Saccharomyces cerevisiae S288C: one gene and its partners. The gene in region 2 interacts genetically with the main gene of each other region. Each region holds a gene or a part of one and is shown on either strand. Other genes may lie near its edges. The genes, in order: ALG8, KEX1 and ERO1.

Region 1 (3,787 bases), on a different chromosome or scaffold from region 2:
AATTGCTTTTACGCTTGCCAATGACCTAATATAGTCGTCCAGCATCACACCCATCGTCAAAGTCTCTTGCAAAGAGCTTCTCTCAAGAGAGCTTTTTATGCTTTTATGAACATCAGCAAAATTATTCAGCAGTTCCGAATTAGGTTCACTCACGTTCAAAGACGCTAGGGTTTCTACCATACTAGAGAATTCTTCTGTTGATGCAGCCAGGGTGTTTCTTGAGGTGTCGACCATTTCCAAAGATTTGCTCAATTTTTTTAAATTATCTTCCAGTTCATCAATCTTTTGTTTCTTTTCGATAAAGAATTCATCTGCCTCGTTGTACTTGGGCAGTGATGAAAACGATATACTCATAAATCCCTTGTGCGATTCCGCGTCGATACCCCCATTTTTTAAGACCTCGGCAGCATCCTCTGCACCTAGTAGTTGTATCTCACTTATCCGGACTTCTGACAGATCGTTGCTATCATTAATAGCGCCAGATCCAGTCAAAAATGCCCTTTTTTTAGACTCTGAACTAAAGTCATCACTTGTCAAAAAGAGTAGAAAATCTTTGTCCTTTTGTAGAACCGGATCTTGACATATTTTTTTTAACATGCTTTCCATTTGAAATCTTCTATTTTCAATGAAATTTTCCTTAAAACTGCCTACTGATTGCTTCTCTGGTGGTGGTGGTATTACTTTACCCCAATGGTTGTTCTGCAATTGACGATATAGCCACCTGAAATCTCTGTAACGCCTGCTTACCTGTGCATATTTTAGCTCAAGTAATGATGATTCACTGATTACAGTATACTCCACATGAATGGATGTTAGCTCTCCTACTTTGACCGGGTCTTTAACTTCAACTTTGAAAGCCACAGCCTTTTCGGTTGGTGGCACCTTTGAGCCAATCTTGGTTTTTCCAAACTTTTCTGAGTTTTCCTCGACCTCAGCAGGACTTGAAATATTAGCACCTGTCTGAGGAAGATTGTATAAAGGCCTGTCCACTTGCTCAAGGATATTTTTTTCAACAGAAGCTGTGAACTTGCCCTCATTGTTTTCTCTCCTTTCATTCCTATCGTCCAATGGCTCTTCAACAAATTCATTCTCTTTTTCAGCTTTCTTTAAGGGATCAGTAAAGGGTGTTTTGATGGTATCATCGGAAGCAGTTGTTCTCTTCGCTTTCAGAGAATGGTTGCGTTTGGAGTTTCTTTGAGCTCTGGCGGAATCAAACAGAATTCGTGGTTTGCCGGATCTTCTTCCAGAGATGCTTTTTGAAGTATTTGGTGAAGTGTTAGCATCGTATATCGTATCGTCAAAAACTAAGGGAGAGTTGGCGTTTCCAGTGAACAATGCGCCACCGGATTCTCTTGTTGCAATAAATTGTGTAGTGCTATTCTTGAGATCAGCAATCGGATCCTGTTCAGGGGCTAAAGAATTAATAAGATCGTCAGCTTTGGAATTGTCATGCTCCTCTAGTTGCGGATTACCAGCCACCGACAAACCAGGGTCTTTCCATTCTGGCGCACTATCCAAGTCTATCTTGTCCGCAAATGAAGCTGTGGTCTCTAAAAGCTCATTGTCTTTTCTTTCTTCATTTGTAGATATTTGACCAATTGATTCAATTGAATTTGAAACGAGGCTCTGAGTTTTATCTCCCTCATGATTTAGTTCGTCCCAAACAGGTGCTTCTAGATTATCCTCGTAGTCCATGGCTTGTTATTGCAGGATGTATGAAAGTTTATAAAATCCCTGCTGCAAATTAAGAGATATATGGTTTCGTTCACTACGTAGTTATAGTAAATAACCTTTGCTTAACCCATTTTTCAAAGCATTTTTAAAATTTACTGTTATCACTTAGTTGTTCTTAGCGGACAACTTCCGAAAAGTGAAATTTCATTTTTCAAAACGACAATAGTGGTATAGAATTATAGAATAACATACGTTAAAAATAGCTGAAGTTCATTACAGTTCTGTAGTGGTCAGCAAGGCATTTGACGTCTATTGGATAGCCTACGATGAAAGGTGATCGTTCGAGGCAAAATATGGCTGTGACAAAGAAGGCAAAGTTAAAAAAAAATGACGAGCCAAAAAAGGTTTTGAAGACTGCCGCGACCGAAAAAGGTGAGGGATCCAAGCGCTACTCCTTATGGAATTTCTGGATAAGCACATTGTTTTTAAAATTACTATTGATTCCTGACTACTTCAGTACAGATTTTGACGTTCATAGAAATTGGCTGGCAATCACCAATAAATTGCCCATCAGCGAATGGTATTATGAGCACACTAGTCAATGGACATTGGATTATCCGCCATTTTTTGCTTATTTTGAATGGTTTTTATCGCAATTTGTTCCTAAATCTGTACGTGATGACGGTTGTTTGGATATAGTGGAGATCGGAAAGTTCGGTTTGCCAACAATCGTTTTCCAACGACTCACTGTCATCTTCAGCGAAATTCTTCTATTTGTCATCCTTCAAATATACATTAATACTACAAAGCTAAGTGAAAGATCTCAAAGTTTTGTGGTTGCTTCTAGCATTGTACTATCACCCGGGTTTTTAATAATAGATCACATTCACTTCCAATATAATGGTTTTCTTTTTGCGATTCTAATAGGCTCCATTGTCGCCGCCAAGAATAAGAGATACATCTTGTGCGCTGTTCTGTATACTACAGCCATATGTTTCAAGCATATATTTTTATATTTGGCGCCATGTTATTTCGTGTTTTTATTGAGAGCATACGTTCTCAATGTCAACAATTTCAAGTTTAAAAGTTACAAAGATTTTTTGTTCCTGATAAGATGGGCAAATCTTTTGAAGTTGGCTACCGTTGTTGTTGGAATTTTCACTATTTGTTTCCTTCCATTTGCTCATCAAATGCCGCAAGTGTTGAGCAGGTTATTCCCATTCTCAAGAGGACTGACGCATGCATATTGGGCACCAAATTTCTGGGCGTTGTATTCTTTTATGGATAAAATACTCACTACGGTAATGTTGAAATTACCGTACGTCCACACTTTTGCTACAAAATTTATTAAACCTCCTCTGATCCCTCAGAATATCAAGGAAATTAATGAAAGGCTCGCGGCAAACAACAATGGAAGTAAAGGTCTAGTTCAAGACGTATTTTTTGTTATTCTCCCTCAAATTCCTCCAAAATTAACGTTTATTTTGACGATATTTTACCAGGTCTTAGCAGTACTTCCACTTTTGTTTGATCCATCGTTCAAAAGATTTGTTGGCTCGTTGACTCTCTGTGGGTTGGCATCGTTTTTGTTCGGGTGGCATGTGCATGAGAAAGCTATAATGCTAGTCATCATTCCGTTCACATTTCTTGTTGGATTTGATCGTCGTCTTTTGGTACCGTTTATGTTAGTTGCCTCAGCTGGTTATGTTTCCTTGTATCCTCTTCTGTACAAAGGCCAAGATTTTTTCATTAAAACATTATACACTTATGTTTGGTGTATAATTTATTTTGCCGCTTTTAGAAAAACTACGAAGATTTCTTCAAGTGTAGAAAGAAGAATCTTTTTCTTGGATAGGTTGGCATTAACGTACATCTTTTCATTGTTACCAATCGTCACCGTATTACAAATATTGGATGAAGTCAAGTGGAGATATTCATTTTTGCAAAAATTTGAATTCTTAGGATTAATGATATATAGTGTCTATTGTTCATTAGGTATAATCAGCTCGTGGTTTGCCTTATCGTGGTTATATAATTTTGACGAATTACTATGGCAGTGATACAATATCGCTTCCCTAGGACGTTAAAAAAAAAGTGATATAAAATTATTTAT
Region 2 (3,787 bases):
TTATACTTCAAATCGTGGATAATCTTGGTATGATCTCTAATGAAGTTTAATAGTTCAGGTTGACCAGCACTGAACCCGTATTGCAAAGCTCTTGACAAAGGAATATCGTTGGAAGGATTGGCACTTTTATCAGCGTAATCTTTGTTGACGGTGTATTTTATGCAATTCTGCTCGTCAATTGGAGCTCCAATACCCTGGGGAAAAGGAGGCTTGGGTGAATCTACAGATAGATTATCCCATGGGAAATAATCTTTTAATGGCAGGCCACCACCCAAAAAGATAATGTTAGGATCTTGGAAAAGATGGATGCAGGTTTTCAATGGGGATGGTTTACGAGCATTGGTTTCATCCGAAAACAAGTAAGAAAAGTCTTTTGATTCAGGTAAAGTCATGATAGTAACGATCGGTTGTCCTATTCAATGTCTGTATCAACTGCAGGGTTTAACTTAGTGGAATGGAAAAATAAGAAAAAGAAATAAGTTCTTAAAGATATAACCAAACCAAATATATAGTCTAGAGATGTGTATAGGAGGGTCTACAAGATAAGAAAAAAGATTGCGATACACATATCTTCAAATGAAATGCGCTTAATATTAGTCATAGATTGGACCTCGAGAAAGTGAAAAAGTGCAGAGTGAAAAATGTGATAAAAAAAGGAAAAAAAGACATCTAAGGTAACCCGGATGTTCTTCATTATTCCGGCGCAATTTAGTACTGTTCTTCTATCAATGGCAATTCAGAAGCCAGATTCTTGAATGAGGTGAAGGAGAACAATGGTTATAGGTTAATTAAGAGATTTTTGGATGGTGTATATGAGCCATGTTTAATCTTGGAAAAATAGTGAACCGGGAAAAAAATAAAGAAGAACTCCTCATAGGGGGCTCGAACCCCTGACATTTCGGTATCCTTGCTTAAGCAAATGCGCTTAAAAGCCGAACGCTCTACCAACTGAGCTAACAAGGATGAGTTCTTCGGATTTCTTCGATAATAGTTTTAGTTAAATATACATTATGTTCACATAATGCTATTATTTAATGCACATGTTAATGGACGGTAAACTACTTATCATTTATTGCAACAAATGAAAAGACACCACCCTAACAGCACGAAAAATGATGTTAATGTCTTGTATAGTATTGTCGGATAACTAACTCTCGTCTCAACAAAGCTTAAATAAGAGCTGAGAGATTGGTGAATTTTAAGATGATTGTAGGCATTTCATTGTTGATCAAGGCTACAATATTATGTATACAGAATATACTAAAAGTTCTCCTCGAGGGTAGAGGAATCCTCAAAGGGGAAGCGATATTTCTACATAATATTATTACGATTATTCCTCATTCCGTTTTATATGTTTCATTATCCTATTACATTATCAATCCTTGCACTTCAGCTTCCTCTAACTTCGATGACAGTTTCTCATACCTTATGTCATCGTCTAACACCGTATATGATAATATACTGGTAGTGTGACTACTAGTTTATAGACGATAGTTGATTTTTATTCCAACAGGATCATTTTGTTAGGTGAGGAATTGCGAGCTTTTTGGCTATAACTTTCAAGTTTTGTCACCAACATTTATATTTGCTTACTGCAGCCCGGAACCGAAAAACAATGTGGAAAAAGAAAAAAAAGTGGAATATTTTGATAATATAGGAAACATTAAGAAAAGCGATTTCTTATCATTGTCTTCAACTCCCATCTATTTGAAAAAGCTTGCTGAAGCATACTTTGGTTAAAGAGTACCTTGGCTATAGAATACCGTAGAGATAAAGACCTGAATAGATGTTTTACAATAGGTGGCTCGGAACGTGGCTAGCCATGTCTGCTTTAATAAGGATCTCAGTATCCCTTCCGTCATCTGAGGAGTACAAAGTGGCATATGAGCTGTTGCCAGGGTTATCTGAAGTGCCAGACCCTTCAAATATTCCACAGATGCATGCTGGCCATATTCCTTTACGTTCCGAAGATGCGGATGAACAGGATAGCTCTGACTTGGAGTACTTTTTTTGGAAGTTTACCAATAACGACTCTAATGGCAATGTCGACCGTCCCTTAATTATATGGTTAAATGGTGGACCCGGTTGCTCTTCCATGGATGGTGCCTTGGTCGAATCCGGCCCTTTTAGGGTGAATTCAGACGGTAAACTTTATCTAAATGAAGGGTCCTGGATATCCAAAGGCGATCTTTTATTTATCGACCAACCTACTGGTACTGGGTTTTCTGTCGAACAAAATAAAGACGAAGGTAAAATCGACAAAAACAAATTTGACGAAGACCTAGAAGATGTGACCAAGCATTTTATGGATTTTCTGGAGAACTATTTCAAGATTTTTCCAGAAGACCTCACTAGGAAAATCATACTATCGGGTGAAAGTTACGCTGGCCAATACATACCATTCTTTGCCAATGCAATTTTGAACCATAACAAATTTTCAAAGATCGACGGGGATACATACGACTTGAAGGCGCTATTGATTGGTAACGGTTGGATTGACCCCAATACACAGTCCCTATCGTACCTTCCGTTTGCTATGGAGAAGAAACTGATTGATGAAAGCAACCCCAATTTCAAACACTTAACGAACGCACACGAGAATTGCCAGAATCTGATAAACTCTGCCAGTACAGATGAGGCAGCCCATTTTTCGTATCAGGAATGTGAGAATATTTTAAACCTTCTATTGTCTTATACCAGGGAATCTTCGCAAAAGGGAACAGCGGATTGCTTGAACATGTATAACTTCAATTTAAAAGATAGTTATCCATCTTGTGGTATGAATTGGCCGAAAGATATTTCCTTTGTCAGTAAATTCTTCAGCACACCTGGTGTTATTGATTCGTTGCATCTTGATTCTGATAAAATTGATCATTGGAAGGAATGCACTAATAGCGTTGGAACTAAATTGTCTAATCCTATTTCAAAGCCATCTATCCATTTATTACCTGGTCTACTTGAAAGTGGAATAGAGATTGTCTTGTTCAATGGTGACAAAGACTTGATTTGTAATAACAAGGGCGTATTAGATACTATAGACAATCTAAAATGGGGTGGAATAAAGGGATTTAGCGACGATGCTGTTTCGTTCGATTGGATCCATAAATCGAAGAGTACAGACGACAGCGAAGAATTTAGCGGATACGTGAAGTATGATAGAAATTTGACGTTTGTTAGCGTTTATAATGCTTCTCACATGGTACCCTTCGATAAAAGTTTAGTGAGTAGAGGCATTGTCGATATTTACTCGAACGATGTTATGATCATTGACAACAATGGGAAAAATGTTATGATTACTACTGACGACGATAGTGATCAAGATGCTACTACTGAAAGCGGTGATAAGCCAAAAGAAAACCTCGAAGAGGAAGAACAGGAAGCGCAGAATGAGGAAGGAAAGGAAAAAGAAGGCAATAAAGATAAAGATGGCGATGATGATAACGACAATGATGACGACGATGAAGACGATCACAACTCCGAGGGCGACGACGATGATGACGATGACGATGATGAAGACGATAATAATGAAAAACAAAGTAATCAAGGCCTCGAGGATAGTAGACATAAATCTTCAGAATATGAACAAGAAGAGGAAGAGGTAGAAGAATTTGCAGAAGAGATTTCAATGTATAAACACAAAGCGGTAGTAGTTACCATCGTTACATTTTTGATAGTGGTTTTAGGAGTTTATGCGTATGATAGAAGAGTGAGGAGAAAAGCGCGTCACACAATTTTAGTTGATCCAAATAATAGACAACATGACAGTCCCAATAAGACAGTTTCATGG
Region 3 (3,700 bases), on a different chromosome or scaffold from region 2:
CGTAAAATGGACAAGCTAATAGCAAAACGAAAAAACACGTTGTCACTTCTATATAACTTTGCTTAAGTAAGTATTTTGTCTTTATAATGTTACATACTGTGAAATACACTCTTTAGAAAACACTATTTCCTCACTCTCGGAAGCAGATTTCGAAGTTCTTCCTTACTTCTGAGCTTTGCTTCTCCTTCCTTGCGATTAATGTTACCCGGTATACGAAATCGGAGAGGATCAGAATAAATGCATTGAAAGGAGCATAAATCTATACAGCGGTTTGGCAATGGTGAGAGGAAGAGAACAAAAAATAGAACGCAGATAGTCATGTCCAAATACGCTTGGTATACCAGAGTTACAGATACATTACATCGTCTAACGGTACTGACGTTGGTTGGTGGTACGTTATACATGTCGGGTGGCTTAGCTTACACTTTATACATGAACGGTAAGAAGTACGAACAACAAGTGACCCAACAAAAGGCACTTGAAGAAGACAATCAACAACTGCAAAGTCCTACTGCACCTCCTACCGAGTAAACTGCGAGAACCCAGTGCTAATAAAATGAAGAAAAAGTACTAGATTACATTTTTAAGTGTTGCACTATATTCTAAGGGCCTCCATCGACGTAGTGTGCTGGTTCCACCTTCTCCTCATTATCATGCCAATATTTACGAACCTGTATATAATAATTAAATCATAAGAAACAACAAAAATAAATAACATTGCTGCCGGATTCCCGTAGGCAAAACTAACATATATATCGCTGCATGCCTTCCTATTCCTTATCAGGGGAAAGACTGCCACTGAGGTTTGAGGCCAAAGGCTGAAACACTTTTCTTCTAAAATGTCGTCTATTCGCCATCTAGTTTTTTATCTGACTATTTCTCGCTGTTTACTTTTTCTTACTGCCATTATGTAGGCCTTTTGAGTCAGCTTTGTGAAGAGATCTTATTACCTTAATTCTTGCTGAAAAATACATCGCAATGAAGTCACTTTCGTGATGGAAAGAACACGGCGGTAAGAATACGTTCCTTTTTGTGCTGTGTACACCCGTAAAATTGTACATTATTTATTTCAAAATATATAACAGGATCCCTCCAGTGTGTCTGAAATGATGCAACTCTGATACTTCAGAGTCGTACCCTTATTAAATACTAATGCCGAATATAGTCATCCAGTAGCCATAGTTCACACACACATTACTTATTCACCACATAAAGAACTAGAAATGCTTGCTAAATATCGTACCTTGAAGGTAAACATTAAGGCCCCCCAAAAGCATATATACATACTGGCAACACAAAAAAAGTAAATTGCCAACCACCTACCTTACATATGGTTTGCCCATCCTACATTACCAATACTATCAAGACATTTCTTCTGAAACATATTCACAACTGAAACGAGATCATTTTCTTATCTATCTATTGAGTAATGCTTACTTTTCATATTTTCAATGAACAATAGGATATGTAGGAGAATTGATATATTCACTGCGTATCAGAGAAAAGGTCTACTGACATTTTATGGCAAATGTATTCTACACAAATCGAGAATACCACAGACAATGGTACAAGACATACACAAAGAGAAGACTGTTCTAATTAAACAAATAATATTGAGCTACCTGCTAAGTATGTCCTTTTCCCTTTGTCCTTTGGTTTCTCTTATAGAAGACCCTGGAAATTTTTCGCATTTTTCCGGCTTTGGGCGTTAGTAAGAACAAAAAGAAAAGAAGAGAACAAAAAAGAAACGATACGGAGTACGTGTCATAAAAACTTGTTCAATCATCCTTGAAGCTAAGTATAAAGAGCTTGAAAAGGTTTACCACTTAAACTGGTTATACTATTTCAAGAGTGTAAACATTTTATTGCATATACCACAGTAACGTGCAGGTAAAACATGAGATTAAGAACCGCCATTGCCACACTGTGCCTCACGGCTTTTACATCTGCAACTTCAAACAATAGCTACATCGCCACCGACCAAACACAAAATGCCTTTAATGACACTCACTTTTGTAAGGTCGACAGGAATGATCACGTTAGTCCCAGTTGTAACGTAACATTCAATGAATTAAATGCCATAAATGAAAACATTAGAGATGATCTTTCGGCGTTATTAAAATCTGATTTCTTCAAATACTTTCGGCTGGATTTATACAAGCAATGTTCATTTTGGGACGCCAACGATGGTCTGTGCTTAAACCGCGCTTGCTCTGTTGATGTCGTAGAGGACTGGGATACACTGCCTGAGTACTGGCAGCCTGAGATCTTGGGTAGTTTCAATAATGATACAATGAAGGAAGCGGATGATAGCGATGACGAATGTAAGTTCTTAGATCAACTATGTCAAACCAGTAAAAAACCTGTAGATATCGAAGACACCATCAACTACTGTGATGTAAATGACTTTAACGGTAAAAACGCCGTTCTGATTGATTTAACAGCAAATCCGGAACGATTTACAGGTTATGGTGGTAAGCAAGCTGGTCAAATTTGGTCTACTATCTACCAAGACAACTGTTTTACAATTGGCGAAACTGGTGAATCATTGGCCAAAGATGCATTTTATAGACTTGTATCCGGTTTCCATGCCTCTATCGGTACTCACTTATCAAAGGAATATTTGAACACGAAAACTGGTAAATGGGAGCCCAATCTGGATTTGTTTATGGCAAGAATCGGGAACTTTCCTGATAGAGTGACAAACATGTATTTCAATTATGCTGTTGTAGCTAAGGCTCTCTGGAAAATTCAACCATATTTACCAGAATTTTCATTCTGTGATCTAGTCAATAAAGAAATCAAAAACAAAATGGATAACGTTATTTCCCAGCTGGACACAAAAATTTTTAACGAAGACTTAGTTTTTGCCAACGACCTAAGTTTGACTTTGAAGGACGAATTCAGATCTCGCTTCAAGAATGTCACGAAGATTATGGATTGTGTGCAATGTGATAGATGTAGATTGTGGGGCAAAATTCAAACTACCGGTTACGCAACTGCCTTGAAAATTTTGTTTGAAATCAACGACGCTGATGAATTCACCAAACAACATATTGTTGGTAAGTTAACCAAATATGAGTTGATTGCACTATTACAGACTTTCGGTAGATTATCTGAATCTATTGAATCTGTTAACATGTTCGAAAAAATGTACGGGAAAAGGTTAAACGGTTCTGAAAACAGGTTAAGCTCATTCTTCCAAAATAACTTCTTCAACATTTTGAAGGAGGCAGGCAAATCGATTCGTTACACCATAGAGAACATCAATTCCACTAAAGAAGGAAAGAAAAAGACTAACAATTCTCAATCACATGTATTTGATGATTTAAAAATGCCCAAAGCAGAAATAGTTCCAAGGCCCTCTAACGGTACAGTAAATAAATGGAAGAAAGCTTGGAATACTGAAGTTAACAACGTTTTAGAAGCATTCAGATTTATTTATAGAAGCTATTTGGATTTACCCAGGAACATCTGGGAATTATCTTTGATGAAGGTATACAAATTTTGGAATAAATTCATCGGTGTTGCTGATTACGTTAGTGAGGAGACACGAGAGCCTATTTCCTATAAGCTAGATATACAATAAGAGCAACACAGTTTATCTTATATGTATTCAATGTATAGATTTCAAAATATAGAGTTTAAATATCATTCAAAATATTCAATAAATTTTTCCTTTGAAAATTTAGGCCACTAA

What was found.
Region 1: mutations in KEX1 (region 2) and ALG8 together harm fitness more than expected from each alone (negative genetic interaction), as found in Saccharomyces cerevisiae (3 studies listed by BioGRID).
Region 3: mutations in KEX1 (region 2) and ERO1 together harm fitness more than expected from each alone (negative genetic interaction), as found in Saccharomyces cerevisiae (2 studies listed by BioGRID).

Annotation. Positions count from the first base shown.
Region 1 is NC_001147.6:451,676-455,462, reverse strand, and holds ALG8 (dolichyl-P-Glc:Glc1Man(9)GlcNAc(2)-PP-dolichol alpha-1,3-glucosyltransferase), read left to right. Parts: upstream 1-2,000; coding exon 2,001-3,734; downstream 3,735-3,787. Other genes in the region: VAM10 (Vam10p), read left to right, coding at 1,250-1,594; VPS5 (sorting nexin 1), read right to left, coding at 1-1,695. UniProt on the Saccharomyces cerevisiae protein: Dolichyl pyrophosphate Glc1Man9GlcNAc2 alpha-1,3-glucosyltransferase that operates in the biosynthetic pathway of dolichol-linked oligosaccharides, the glycan precursors employed in protein asparagine (N)-glycosylation.
Region 2 is NC_001139.9:112,664-116,450, reverse strand, and holds the start of KEX1 (serine-type carboxypeptidase), read left to right. Parts: upstream 1-1,786; coding exon 1,787-3,787. Other genes in the region: ARO8 (bifunctional 2-aminoadipate transaminase/aromatic-amino-acid:2-oxoglutarate transaminase), read right to left, coding at 1-392.
Region 3 is NC_001145.3:11,372-15,071, reverse strand, and holds ERO1 (ER oxidoreductin), read left to right. Parts: upstream 1-1,897; coding exon 1,898-3,589; downstream 3,590-3,700. Other genes in the region: COX14 (Cox14p), read left to right, coding at 319-531. UniProt on the Saccharomyces cerevisiae protein: Essential oxidoreductase that oxidizes proteins in the endoplasmic reticulum to produce disulfide bonds. Acts by oxidizing directly PDI1 isomerase through a direct disulfide exchange.